3 linked regions of the Callithrix jacchus genome follow. The protein of the gene in region 3 interacts with the protein of the main gene of each other region in a pairwise test. Links are inferred from orthologs where the notes say so. Each region holds a gene or a part of one and is shown on either strand. Other genes may lie near its edges. The genes, in order: NEFL, KRT18 and NME7.

Region 1 (3,737 bases), on a different chromosome or scaffold from region 3:
ACTCATTCTCTGCTCTTCGCCACCCACACACTGCAACACGTTAAAAGCATCCGCGGCTTCTTCATTCCCAGTAAAGAAATGTGAAAATCTAGAAACACTAACAGTCGGATCAACTGCTTTAAAGGTTTGGAAATGCTAAACCAACACCTGCAGTAGTGCCGCAGTTTCACGTGTGTGTGTGTGTGTGTGTGTGTGTGCGCGCGCGCGCGTCCGCACATTCCCTGTGTGTTGAGAAGCAGCACATTAAAGAAAAAGAAAAATAACGAGGAAAAAGGAAGATGAATTGCAGAAAGTGCCAGAAATAGCTATAAAGAAATTAAAACTCTTCTCCATACATACCGCAGACACACAACCTAACCTATTTATTTGTACCTAAAATCCCCTAGCGGCACCGTCACCATAAACACCAAGGGGGATCGTTAAAGAGGTCCCTGGTGGGAAAAGGGCGAGTTGGGGGCGGGGGCGGCAGGGTGTCCACGAGGTGCCGGGATACGGAAAACTAGGGTGTCAAAAGAGAGCAATAACCTGTTTTGGGGACACTTAAGGATCCAAGTGATAAGGGGTCTGGGCGGTGCAGGATGGTGGGGGGTGCGTGGGTGGATACAGAAGGGAAATGAGTGAGGGTGCATGGAATCTCAGAGAAAATCAAGGGCCTCTGAGCAGAGTGTAAAGGACGAGCGCCGCAGCTCCCCTGCCCGCCGCTCGCCCCCGCCTTCCCTTTTGCGCAGAATCCTCGCCTTGGCTGCAGCAGCGCGCTGCCCCCACCGGCCGGCGCGCCGCGATCGATCGCAGGCTGCGTCAGGATCCTCCCGGCGTATAAATAGGGGTGGCAGGACGGCGCCGAGCCGCACACAGCCATCCATCCTTCCCCTTCCCTCACTCCCCTGTCCTTCTCTCTCTCCAGGCTCCCGCCGCCGCCGCGGGCTGGGGAGCCACCGGCCGCCACCATGAGTTCCTTCAGCTTCGAGCCGTACTACTCGACCTCCTACAAGCGGCGCTACGTGGAGACGCCCCGGGTGCACATCTCCAGCGTGCGCAGCGGCTACAGCACCGCGCGCTCCGCTTACTCCAGCTACTCGGCGCCGGTTTCTTCCTCGCTGTCCGTGCGCCGCAGCTACTCGTCCAGCTCCGGCTCGTTGATGCACAGCCTGGAGAACCTCGATCTGAGCCAGGTAGCCGCCATCAGCAACGACCTCAAGTCGATCCGCACGCAGGAGAAGGCGCAGCTCCAGGACCTCAACGACCGCTTCGCCAGCTTCATCGAGCGCGTGCATGAGCTGGAGCAGCAGAACAAGGTCCTGGAAGCGGAGCTGCTGGTGCTGCGCCAGAAGCACTCGGAGCCGTCCCGCTTCCGGGCGCTGTACGAGCAGGAGATCCGCGACCTGCGCCTGGCGGCGGAAGACGCCACCAACGAGAAGCAGGCGCTCCAGGGAGAGCGCGAAGGACTCGAGGAGACCCTACGCAACCTGCAGGCGCGCTATGAAGAGGAGGTGCTGAGCCGCGAGGACGCCGAGGGCAGGCTGATGGAAGCGCGCAAAGGCGCTGACGAGGCGGCGCTTGCCCGCGCGGAGCTCGAAAAGCGCATCGACAGCCTGATGGACGAAATCGCTTTTCTGAAGAAAGTGCACGAAGAGGAGATCGCCGAGCTGCAAGCGCAGATCCAGTACGCGCAGATCTCCGTGGAGATGGACGTGTCCACCAAGCCCGACCTCTCCGCCGCGCTCAAGGACATCCGCGCTCAGTACGAGAAGCTGGCAGCCAAGAACATGCAGAACGCCGAGGAGTGGTTCAAGAGCCGCTTCACCGTCCTGACCGAGAGCGCCGCCAAGAACACCGACGCCGTGCGCGCCGCCAAGGACGAGGTGTCCGAGAGCCGCCGCCTGCTCAAGGCCAAGACCCTGGAGATCGAAGCATGCCGGGGCATGAACGAAGCGCTGGAGAAGCAGCTGCAGGAGCTGGAGGACAAGCAAAACGCAGACATCAGCGCTATGCAGGTGCGGCACCGCCCGAAACACAGGGGGGCGGAGGACTAGAGCACGGGGGAGAGTTGGTGCGCCCAGAAAGTGGGGACCAGGGGTGGTGCGGCTGCTGGCAGCTCTTGGGGATAAGGCTTGGCTCTTGGGCGCCTGTGTGGGCGGGGTGGGGCACTTGGAGGGCGTGAGCAAGGGCGCCACTGTAGTCTGGGAATGTGCTCCGTGCAGCTGCACCCGAGTTCCGCATTAAAGCTGCCCAGCCCGTGTTGGGTGGGGGAGGGGAAGATGTGGGAACTGGGCGTTGCCTGGGGCCTGCGGTGAAATTTCCTCTCTACTGACCTGTATTAACCACCAGTTACTTCGCAGCAAATATCAGATCATCTGGTTAATAAATAGTAGAGTGAATAACTCCCAATTAATTCTGAAAGGTTACGGTGACAAGCATGCTTTATGACTAGTTATACCAACCACTCCCTTCCTTTATTTAGTAGGTAGACAGGAAAATAGTTAACGTTGTTTTAGGCAGTTAACTAGGATGTTCATTTCTTTTTACTCTTTTCTTTTTCTTTGTGCAACATTTCTATTTAAAACATCTCCATCTTCTGGGAAGTAGAAAAAGTAAAATTTTAAAAAGATCTCTATTTTAAAAGATCCCCATCTTCTGGGGAGTAGAATTTTTTTTTTCTTCTGGGGAATAGAAAAATGATTTAGATACATAGGAAATATTTTAGAGAGAATAATTTTTTTCTCGTCTGGCTATTTTCTTCTGTACAGAAAGGCATTAGTTTCTTGGCATGTAACCCAGCTAAAGAAGATTTAATCAGTGGGTGAGAAACAGTTTTTCTATCATCTTAGTTTCCTTGCAGGCATTTTCTGATGATCATTAAGCTGTATTAAGTAAAGAAATAGAAGAAAAGAATTTTCTTCCATTTTGTTTGTCATCTCAGGCTTCATGAACTTGGCTATTTTAGGCAAGAAGGTTTTTAAAAAAATACAGGAAATTATTCTAGGGGAGATTTTATCAAAGGTGTGCACCTCGATTTTAATTGAAACTAGGCCTTTACAACTACACTACAGTAAAGTAATAGAAGATATTTATGCTTGGATATATTTTTTTTTTTTTGTCTTCAAACAGGACACGATCAACAAATTAGAAAATGAATTGAGGACCACAAAGAGTGAAATGGCACGATACCTAAAAGAATACCAAGACCTCCTCAATGTGAAGATGGCTTTGGATATTGAGATTGCAGCTTACAGGTGAAAATAGAGGGGCAGAGACAGCAGCCATTAAACCTTAGGAAGAAAATCAGATCCCAATTAAAGTTATGTTGGATCAGAAACCTTCAAGAATAGTCCTTTGAAATAATGAAATGTTAGTTTTTTGCTTCTTCCAAGAAGGTATTTAGATATATAAGAATTTAACCCTGTAATTAGGAGTCTTGTTTTTAGCTTCCCATTACCTTTTAAATCTGACAGGACGATTTCATGTGTTCCTGTTGTTGGTTTCTGGTCTCCATCACAAAATCCCCAGGCATTAAGTTTTGATAAATCCCAGCCCTGCTCCTGCTTCCCTTAGCCTTTAGGGTGCTCAGAGCAAGTTGTGAAACACAGGTTTCTTTTAACCTCACCTTCCATCTGCATCCCCAGGAAACTCTTGGAAGGCGAGGAGACCCGGCTCAGTTTCACCAGCGTGGGAAGCATAACCAGTGGCTATTCCCAGAGCTCCCAGGTCTTTGGCCGATCTGCCTATGGCGGTTTACA
Region 2 (3,750 bases), on a different chromosome or scaffold from region 3:
GGCTTGGAATCCAGATAGCCTTACAAGCGGGGACAGGGCAAGGACCAGCCTGCAGAAAAGTCCTAGTAAAGAGGTGAGGGGCACTGGCCCCCAGGGCTGGGTTGCTGCTAAGAACGTCCTAGGAGTGCCTCTCAGGTCCCATGCAAGATGGGACACATTACCACCTCCATGAGAGATTTTCATCTCTTCTGTCACCACCCTTTCCTCTCCCAGCTCCTAGAACTGGGCCTGGTGTACAGTAGGTTCTGAATACATACTTGTCAAATTGTAAATGCTCAGGATTTGTTTGACCAAGGATGCAGGAAAGGTGATATACAGGTGTGCAGAAGTGAGGACCCGTTCCACTGAGGCGAGGCAAGGGAGTGAGGTCGGCGGAGGGGGCTCAGAGACTGGGGTTGTTTCAGGCAGTCTGCACCTATCTGGTGAGTGAACGTGTGCGCGCGCGCATTTGAGAGCACACCTCTGTATGATTCGGGTGTGAGTGTGTGCGACGAAACATGGGCAGGCGGGAGTGTTTGGGAGCCAGGTGCCGCTGGGGTGTGCGTTAACCAGCAGCTGTGAGGCTCCGCACTGCTTCTCCTCCTCTTCTCCTCCTCCCAGCCTTTCTTTCCCGCGACTCCTGGGGCTCCAGGATGCCCCCTAAGATCCCCTCCACAGGTGGATAACTTGGGCTGCAGGCTGAGGACAGCTAGAGGGACTCACAGGCCATTCCACCCGCACACCACCAGACCCCCAAATTTCAAACCCGCCAGCACCTCCTCCACGTGGGGGAGAAGGGCATAATAGCGTCATTTCCTGCCCCGAAAGCAGCCTCGAGGGCCAACAACACCTGCTGTCCCAGTCAGCACCCGGTTGGCCACCCCGTCTCTGGGGGGTGGAGGGGGGGGCTTGGCAGGGCAGCGCGGGGGAGTGGCCCGGGGCGGAGAGCACGGCTCCTGCACCGTCCACCTGTGGCTCGGGCTCCCAAGCGGCGGGGCGGGGGCGGGGCCTCACTCTGGATATAACTCGGGTCGCGCCGGCCGCCACCTTCGTCTGCGAAGCCTGAGTCCTGTCCTCTCGCTCTCTTCCCCGGGCAGCATGAGCTTCACCACCCGCTCCTCCTTTTCCACCAACTACCGGTCCGTGGGCTCCGTCCGGGTGCCCAGCTATGGCGCCCGGCCGGTCAGCAGCGCGGCCAGCGTCTATGCAGGCGCCGGGGGCTCTGGTTCCCGCGTCTCCGTGACGCGCTCCACCAGCGTCCGGAGCGGCATGGGGGTCGGGGGCCTGGCCGCGGGGATGGCCAGGGGTCTGGCAGGAATGGGAGGCATCCAGAACGAGAAGGAGACCATGCAAATCCTGAACGACCGCCTGGCCTCCTACCTGGACAGAGTCAGGAGCCTGGAGACCGAGAACCGGAAGCTGGAGATCAAAATCCGGGAGCACCTGGAGAAGAAGGGACCCCAAGTCAGAGACTGGGGCCATTACTTCAAGACCATCGAGGACCTGAGGGCTCAGGTAAGGGGAGTGGTGGGAGAGACCTCAACTCCCAGCCATGTCTGATCCTCCAGTTATACACTCCTCTGCCTCTTTCCCTCATTCCATGTCCACCCCAGCCCCTACTCCACCGGGAAATTCCAGGATTTCCAACCAGGCTCCTAGCCACAGGCTCCCCAGGAGCAGAAGCTAGGCATGGGAGGGCTCTTCCCCAGGAGAGCGGGGGAAGGGGACAGGGCTGAGCTTTACGGAGAAGTGGACAGCATGGAGGGAGGTGAGGAAAGGCCTGTAAACAGGAGGAGACACTGGCTTCTGGCCGCGTGGGGACTATTGGAGGGTTAAGCGGATGTGGCTATGGCTGAATCATCTAAGAGTAAACATGGGGCCTTTCTTTGGGTGGGGCCGATCCAGGGTGTAGGGGGCCCAGAGTGAGCAGGTGCACTAGGGAAAAAATGCCAGGAGAGGGCCAGGGATAGGACTTTTTAGTAGTGGCTCACTTCCGGGCAGGCGGGCCAGCCATCTAGCCAGACTGCTGAGTCTTCCCAAGAGGGGCAGAGTGTTGGGATCTAGGAAAGGAGTCCAGGAAAGGAGGGAATGGGGTGGGGCTAAGATGAAAATGGACAGGTGTTCAAAGAGAGCCTCTGGCGATTCCTGGCACTAGGAAGTTTTCACTAGGACACATAACACTTTTCACACACTCAGCCCACCCATCACTGACTTTGCATTCATGGAGCAATCTCTCTCAACAATTCCCCCAGATCTTCTCAAATACTGTGGACAATGCCCGCATCGTTCTGCAGATTGACAATGCTCGTCTTGCTGCTGATGACTTTAGAGTCAAGTAAGTTGAGGGGCTAGGGAGCTGGGGGTCTGGGGATGGAGCTAAGAAGGGTATGCTCCCCTGGCTAGGTCAGGTAGGGGCTCACAGTGGGATCCTGTTCAGATGTGGGTGGATGAGAGTCAATCAGTGTATTCATTTAACTATTGAATTGTGTGTGTGTGTGTGTGTGTAGTTTCTTTGTTTTTGTTTTTGTTTTTCAAGACAGAGTCTTACTCTGTCTCCCAGGCTGGAGTGCAGTGGTGTTAACTTGGCTCATGGCAACCTCTGCCTCCCAAGTTTAAGTGATTCTCCTGCCTCAACCTCCTGAGTAGCTGGGGCTACAGGCACGTGCTACTACACCGAGGTAATTTTTATATTTTTAGTAGAGACGGTTTCACTATGTTGGCTAGGCTGGTCTCAAACTCCTGACCTCAGGTGATCCACCCGCCTCAGCCTCCCAAAGTGCTGGAATTACAGGGAAGAGCCACCATGCCCAGCCTAACTAATCATTTGTATAACCCTGTTTAAGAACATTGTCCTCCAAGTGCCAAGAATGGTGCTCAAGGCACTACCACCTGATTGCTGACTCAAGTTGCTGGTTTGCAGTGGGCACAGAACTGCTCTTAATAGGTGGTGTGTGTTAAGAAGGTCAGAGATAGGGGCCCCTCTGATCACCTGTACTCCTACAGGTATGAGACAGAGCTGGCCATGCGCCAGTCTGTGGAGAGCGACATCCATGGTCTCCGAAAGGTCATCGATGACACCAATGTCACTCGGCTGCAGCTGGAGACAGAGATCGAGGCTCTCAAGGAGGAGCTGCTCTTCATGAAGAAGAACCATGAAGAGGCAAGCGGGGGCCACTGGCCAAGCCAGGAACCGAGGGGCCAAGACAAGTCAGTCTAGGTGGGAGAATAGACAGGACAAGCCACTTCCAAGTGGCCTTGCCAAGAAGCTTAGAAATAGCAGCCTGGGCTCTTCTTAACAAGACTGTTCTGATAAAGAGCATTCTCAGGGGGTCAAATAAACTCTGTGGCTTACCTGAATTACAGGTCAAAATAATATGGATGAGAGGAGATGAGAACAAACATAGAAGCAGCTACTCATCACCAGGAGCTGGGGGTGATGGAGGAATGAGAGCAGGTGGACTTGGCAGGGCTTCCTAAAAGATGGTAGAAGGAGCAGGTTTGTGAAGGGGAGGGTGGATGAAGGGACAGTGAGAAACCATCATTTCTACCCACTGGAGAAACCATTTCTACCCAGTGGCATTTCTATGCACTGGAGCAGAAAGGCCAGAACTAGTATTGCTCTGAGTACAAGCCCAGGGCTTCTCCCGGTCTCTTCTCCAGCTGATCCTATGGGCCTTCTAGAAGAGGCAGTCACAGAGGAAAGGCCTTATTGGAGCCCTGACCCTGAGACCTCTGCACTTTTGCCCCTGTCACCTTTAGGAAGTAAATGGC
Region 3 (3,650 bases):
TTAACTTTATTAATAATTTTTTTTGTTCATTATATTGTTGTTTCTGGTTCTAGCATGATGTAAAGAATCATCGTACCTTTTTAAAGCGGACCAAATATGATAACCTGCACTTGGAAGATTTATTTATAGGCAACAAAGTGAATGTCTTTTCTCGACAGTTGGTATTAATTGACTATGGAGATCAATATACAGCTCGCCAGCTGGGAAGTAGGAAAGAAAAGTAAGAAAATAATTATGTATTCTTTTTCCATTCTCTGACTTTAAGCCCAAAGTCAGGCAGAATTAAGACTGGGAGGTTTAACCATAATGAGGACAAATAGGACCTGGAAAATGGTTGTCTTCATTCTTTCTTTTTCTTTTCTTTTTAATTGAAAAATAATTGATAATATCATAGTTGTTTATGTCTCATCTGACTTAATCATATTTATGTCTCCTGTGGCACTTAGCACGTCTCCTTCCATAATGCAAGCACCTTCTCTGTATTAGCTGAATGAATTCATAAATCACAATTTAAAAATCTATTATTTATTCTTTCCTTTTTCCATTTTCTCCCTGTTTTCAAATGATGATCTTTGATATAGTTGACCAGGAAGATTTTGTCTAGATTGTTTGTAACTAATGCTGTCTGTTCTTGAGCTTTATTAACAGACATATATATCTAAGAAATGTTGATCAACTGATCAATTGAAAAATGACAATATGAGTGTTGTAAAAAGGAAAAAGGAAAGAAACCATATAAAGAAATTGTGATACTGGGAGACTGATCTGTCTTGTTTGTAACTGTATCTCTAAAAACTGTTATAGCGATACCTCAAACAGTAAATTATTCAGAGTGTGACCCACAAAAGTTTGTTAAATAAATGAGTGAATAAATTGATGTCATCGAAATGTCTGGAGTATGGTATGTCAAAGGAAGGGTTTCCCAATGGCTGGCATCCCGCCTCCTTCTCTTCCTCCCACTGCATGTGGCTCATTCTATGAAAGACAAACTGTAGCATGATGCCTCCACCTGTGTCTCTATTCTCTCTATTGTTTGTCAAAACTGCATTTATCATTCATTTTCTCAGTTTTGATTTAGAAGAGATACAGTCATCTGTAAAAGGGGTTAAGAAAAAAATTAGAAGAGAGAACAATTTGAAGATGCAATTGAAAGTTAGACTTACAGAAAACTAGGACTTTTGATAATGTTTTTCTTCCGAATATTGATTTTCAATATTAGCACAATGGCATTTTAATTTTCAGTCTCTGCATTTATGAGTTTCCAGTTTCTAAGACTAGAATTAATTATATTTGAAATGAAATTTTAATTCCTTTGTCATCTTTCTTGGCTCTGATTGCTGTAGCTTATATTTTATATGGTTTGGGGAGATTTTTTTTTCCTGCAGAGTGATTGGTATTGTAACTAAAAATAGGGATTATTAGTAGAAGTTAAGACTGTATGTATAAAAGGCTCCAAAAATGACTTAATTCAATAGGGAAAACAAATCAATCAAACTGTTTTTTGAAATCTACTACTCAAATGATTAGCTGATTGCATAGCATCTGAGTCACTCTCATAATAACATGGTATCTCTTTCTGTGACTTCCATAGTCTTTCTATACAAGCACTTTATAATTCTTGAGGTGACTGGATTCTCAGTGTGGCTGTTAGTACACAAATGGTGTTAGTACACAAATGGATCAGAGGGGTGGTGAATGCCTCATAAAAAAGGAAGACCAAAGACTCCCTTTGAAATAGGACAAACATTTCAGATATTAAATAAGGATCTTTTAATGTTATGAGATCTTATGTAAAAGTCTATGGGATTAAGGAAATGCCAACCATAATTCCTTTATTTAAAACTAATAAATATATGTAGCATTCGTTTATGGAGCACATACTATATGCCAGTCATTACAATACTCACTTTACATACACCTCAGTTCAAGACTACTTTATTTTATTATTATTATTTTTGAGACAGGGTCTGCTGGCTCTGTCACTCAGGCTGAAGTGAAGTGGCATGATCATAGCTCACTGTAGCCTTGACTTCCCAGGCTCAAGTGATCCTCCCAGGTCAGTCTCCTGGGTAGGTGAATCTACAGCCCTGCACCACTATGCCTGGCTAATTTTTTGGTGTTTTGGTAGAAATGCAGTTTTGCCATCTTGCTTACGCTGGAAGACTACTTTAAATATTTAAACTAGCAAAATAAGTGACTTAGGGAGGCAGGGTTAAGAGTCTGACCTAATAAAAATAAAATAGCCATTAAAATTATAATTTACATATTTTAATTCTGATTTGACAGAAGTGAATGTTGTTAAATCTATTTTATAGAATGGGTAAGTAACTTGTCTGTAGTCACACAGCTAGAAAGTAAAGGGAAATTGTATTTTTTGTCTAAAATTCATTCTCTTTCTACTAAACCTCTAATTAATAGGGCAGGTGCTGTTGAATGGGACTGATTTGAAAACAGGAGGAACGGAAGAATTCTATTTTAATATGAAGACAAATTTGAAGTATTTGGGCTTCATATAGTTAATGAAAATATATACAGTATATATTTTACTAACTCAAATTGATTCACCATCTTCTCTTCTTACTCTTTCTTAACTCCATATGGGTTAGAAAATCCAGCAGCCCTTTGGGTGATTTAAATAAATTTCTTCGAAACCCAAGAGTTTCAAAAATGTATTGTTTTATTTAAATGGCAAAAAGTAAAGATATGAAAATATATGTATATGTCTGTCAGCATTCTACAGAAACACCTTCTGTATAATAACTGATTTAGTCTAGTTCTCAGTTTTGTATAGTGTTGAGGAAAATTTATGAACGAATTACACTTTAGTCTTTTGTTTCTGTAATAAAGCTGGTAGTGAGGATGATCAGTGAAATTGATCCCATGGAGCTAACTGAGGAGCAGTTATCCAGATAATTTAATATAATTCAATTTAACTCATGAACTAGCTTCAGCTTTCCAATTCCCTTCGACTGTAGAAATCTGACATTTGGTTCACATTTCTATCCTCTCTATATAAAGATCCTCTAATCACATGGATGAAGGTTACAAGTTGTCAATGAGTCAGTCTTTGATTTTAATTTTAGCTAGTAATCAATTGATGCTTTATGACTCTGTTGTTTAGTTGTAGAGACACAATACAATTTGTGTCTTTCTAAAAATTTATTACCTCAAACCAGAAATAATTAAAAAGTTTTCATATGAAGAGTCAATATATATATGTATGTGTGTACATGAATGATAGAGGAATTTTATATGACAAGGAAGCTATTCCCCATATGATAAATGAGGTATTAAATGTTTACTTTGGTAGCTTTATAGCTATAGTAAGAAGTTTATAAAAATTAATGAAAAATAATGCCAGTATCCTATTTAAGAATTCATTAATTTTAAGTACTGAGCCACATATTTACATTCAGCAGTCCCATTCCTTTTGAATCTCAGCCGGAAAGCAAACCATCTAATCAAATGAAAGGGAGAAAGGTGAACAACATTATAGTAAATGCTAAATACATGAGATTCTTGAGCCCATCTTTTAACTTTCAGTGAAAGGAAGACCCTGCTATTTTTTAGAAGAAAAATTATGAAGTCAACTCTATTTATAATCTGTGATCCCAAGATCTAAACCCAAGTTATTTGAGGCTCTGTAACAG

Evidence for each region.
Region 1: the proteins of NME7 (region 3) and NEFL interact in binary tests that used the Homo sapiens proteins (3 or more experiments, as listed by UniProt). The two-hybrid records come from large-scale screens. The link is inferred for Callithrix jacchus from reciprocal best matches to the Homo sapiens genes NME7 and NEFL.
Region 2: the proteins of NME7 (region 3) and KRT18 interact in binary tests that used the Homo sapiens proteins (3 or more experiments, as listed by UniProt). The two-hybrid records come from large-scale screens. The link is inferred for Callithrix jacchus from reciprocal best matches to the Homo sapiens genes NME7 and KRT18.

The regions. Positions count from the first base shown.
Region 1 is NC_133514.1:16,530,174-16,533,910, forward strand, and holds the start of NEFL (neurofilament light polypeptide), read left to right. Parts: upstream 1-847; 5' UTR 848-947; coding exon 948-1,994; intron 1,995-3,108; coding exon 3,109-3,233; intron 3,234-3,623; coding exon 3,624-3,737. UniProt on the Homo sapiens protein: Neurofilaments usually contain three intermediate filament proteins: NEFL, NEFM, and NEFH which are involved in the maintenance of neuronal caliber.
Region 2 is NC_133510.1:66,605,296-66,609,045, reverse strand, and holds the start of KRT18 (keratin, type I cytoskeletal 18), read left to right. Parts: upstream 1-1,030; 5' UTR 1,031-1,077; coding exon 1,078-1,494; intron 1,495-2,231; coding exon 2,232-2,314; intron 2,315-2,982; coding exon 2,983-3,139; intron 3,140-3,738; coding exon 3,739-3,750. UniProt on the Homo sapiens protein: Involved in the uptake of thrombin-antithrombin complexes by hepatic cells. When phosphorylated, plays a role in filament reorganization. Involved in the delivery of mutated CFTR to the plasma membrane.
Region 3 is NC_133519.1:33,151,144-33,154,793, forward strand, and holds part of NME7 (nucleoside diphosphate kinase homolog 7), read left to right. Parts: intron 1-53; coding exon 54-220; intron 221-3,650. UniProt on the Homo sapiens protein: Possesses an intrinsic kinase activity. Displays 3'-5' exonuclease activity with a preference for single-stranded DNA. Does not seem to have nucleoside diphosphate kinase activity.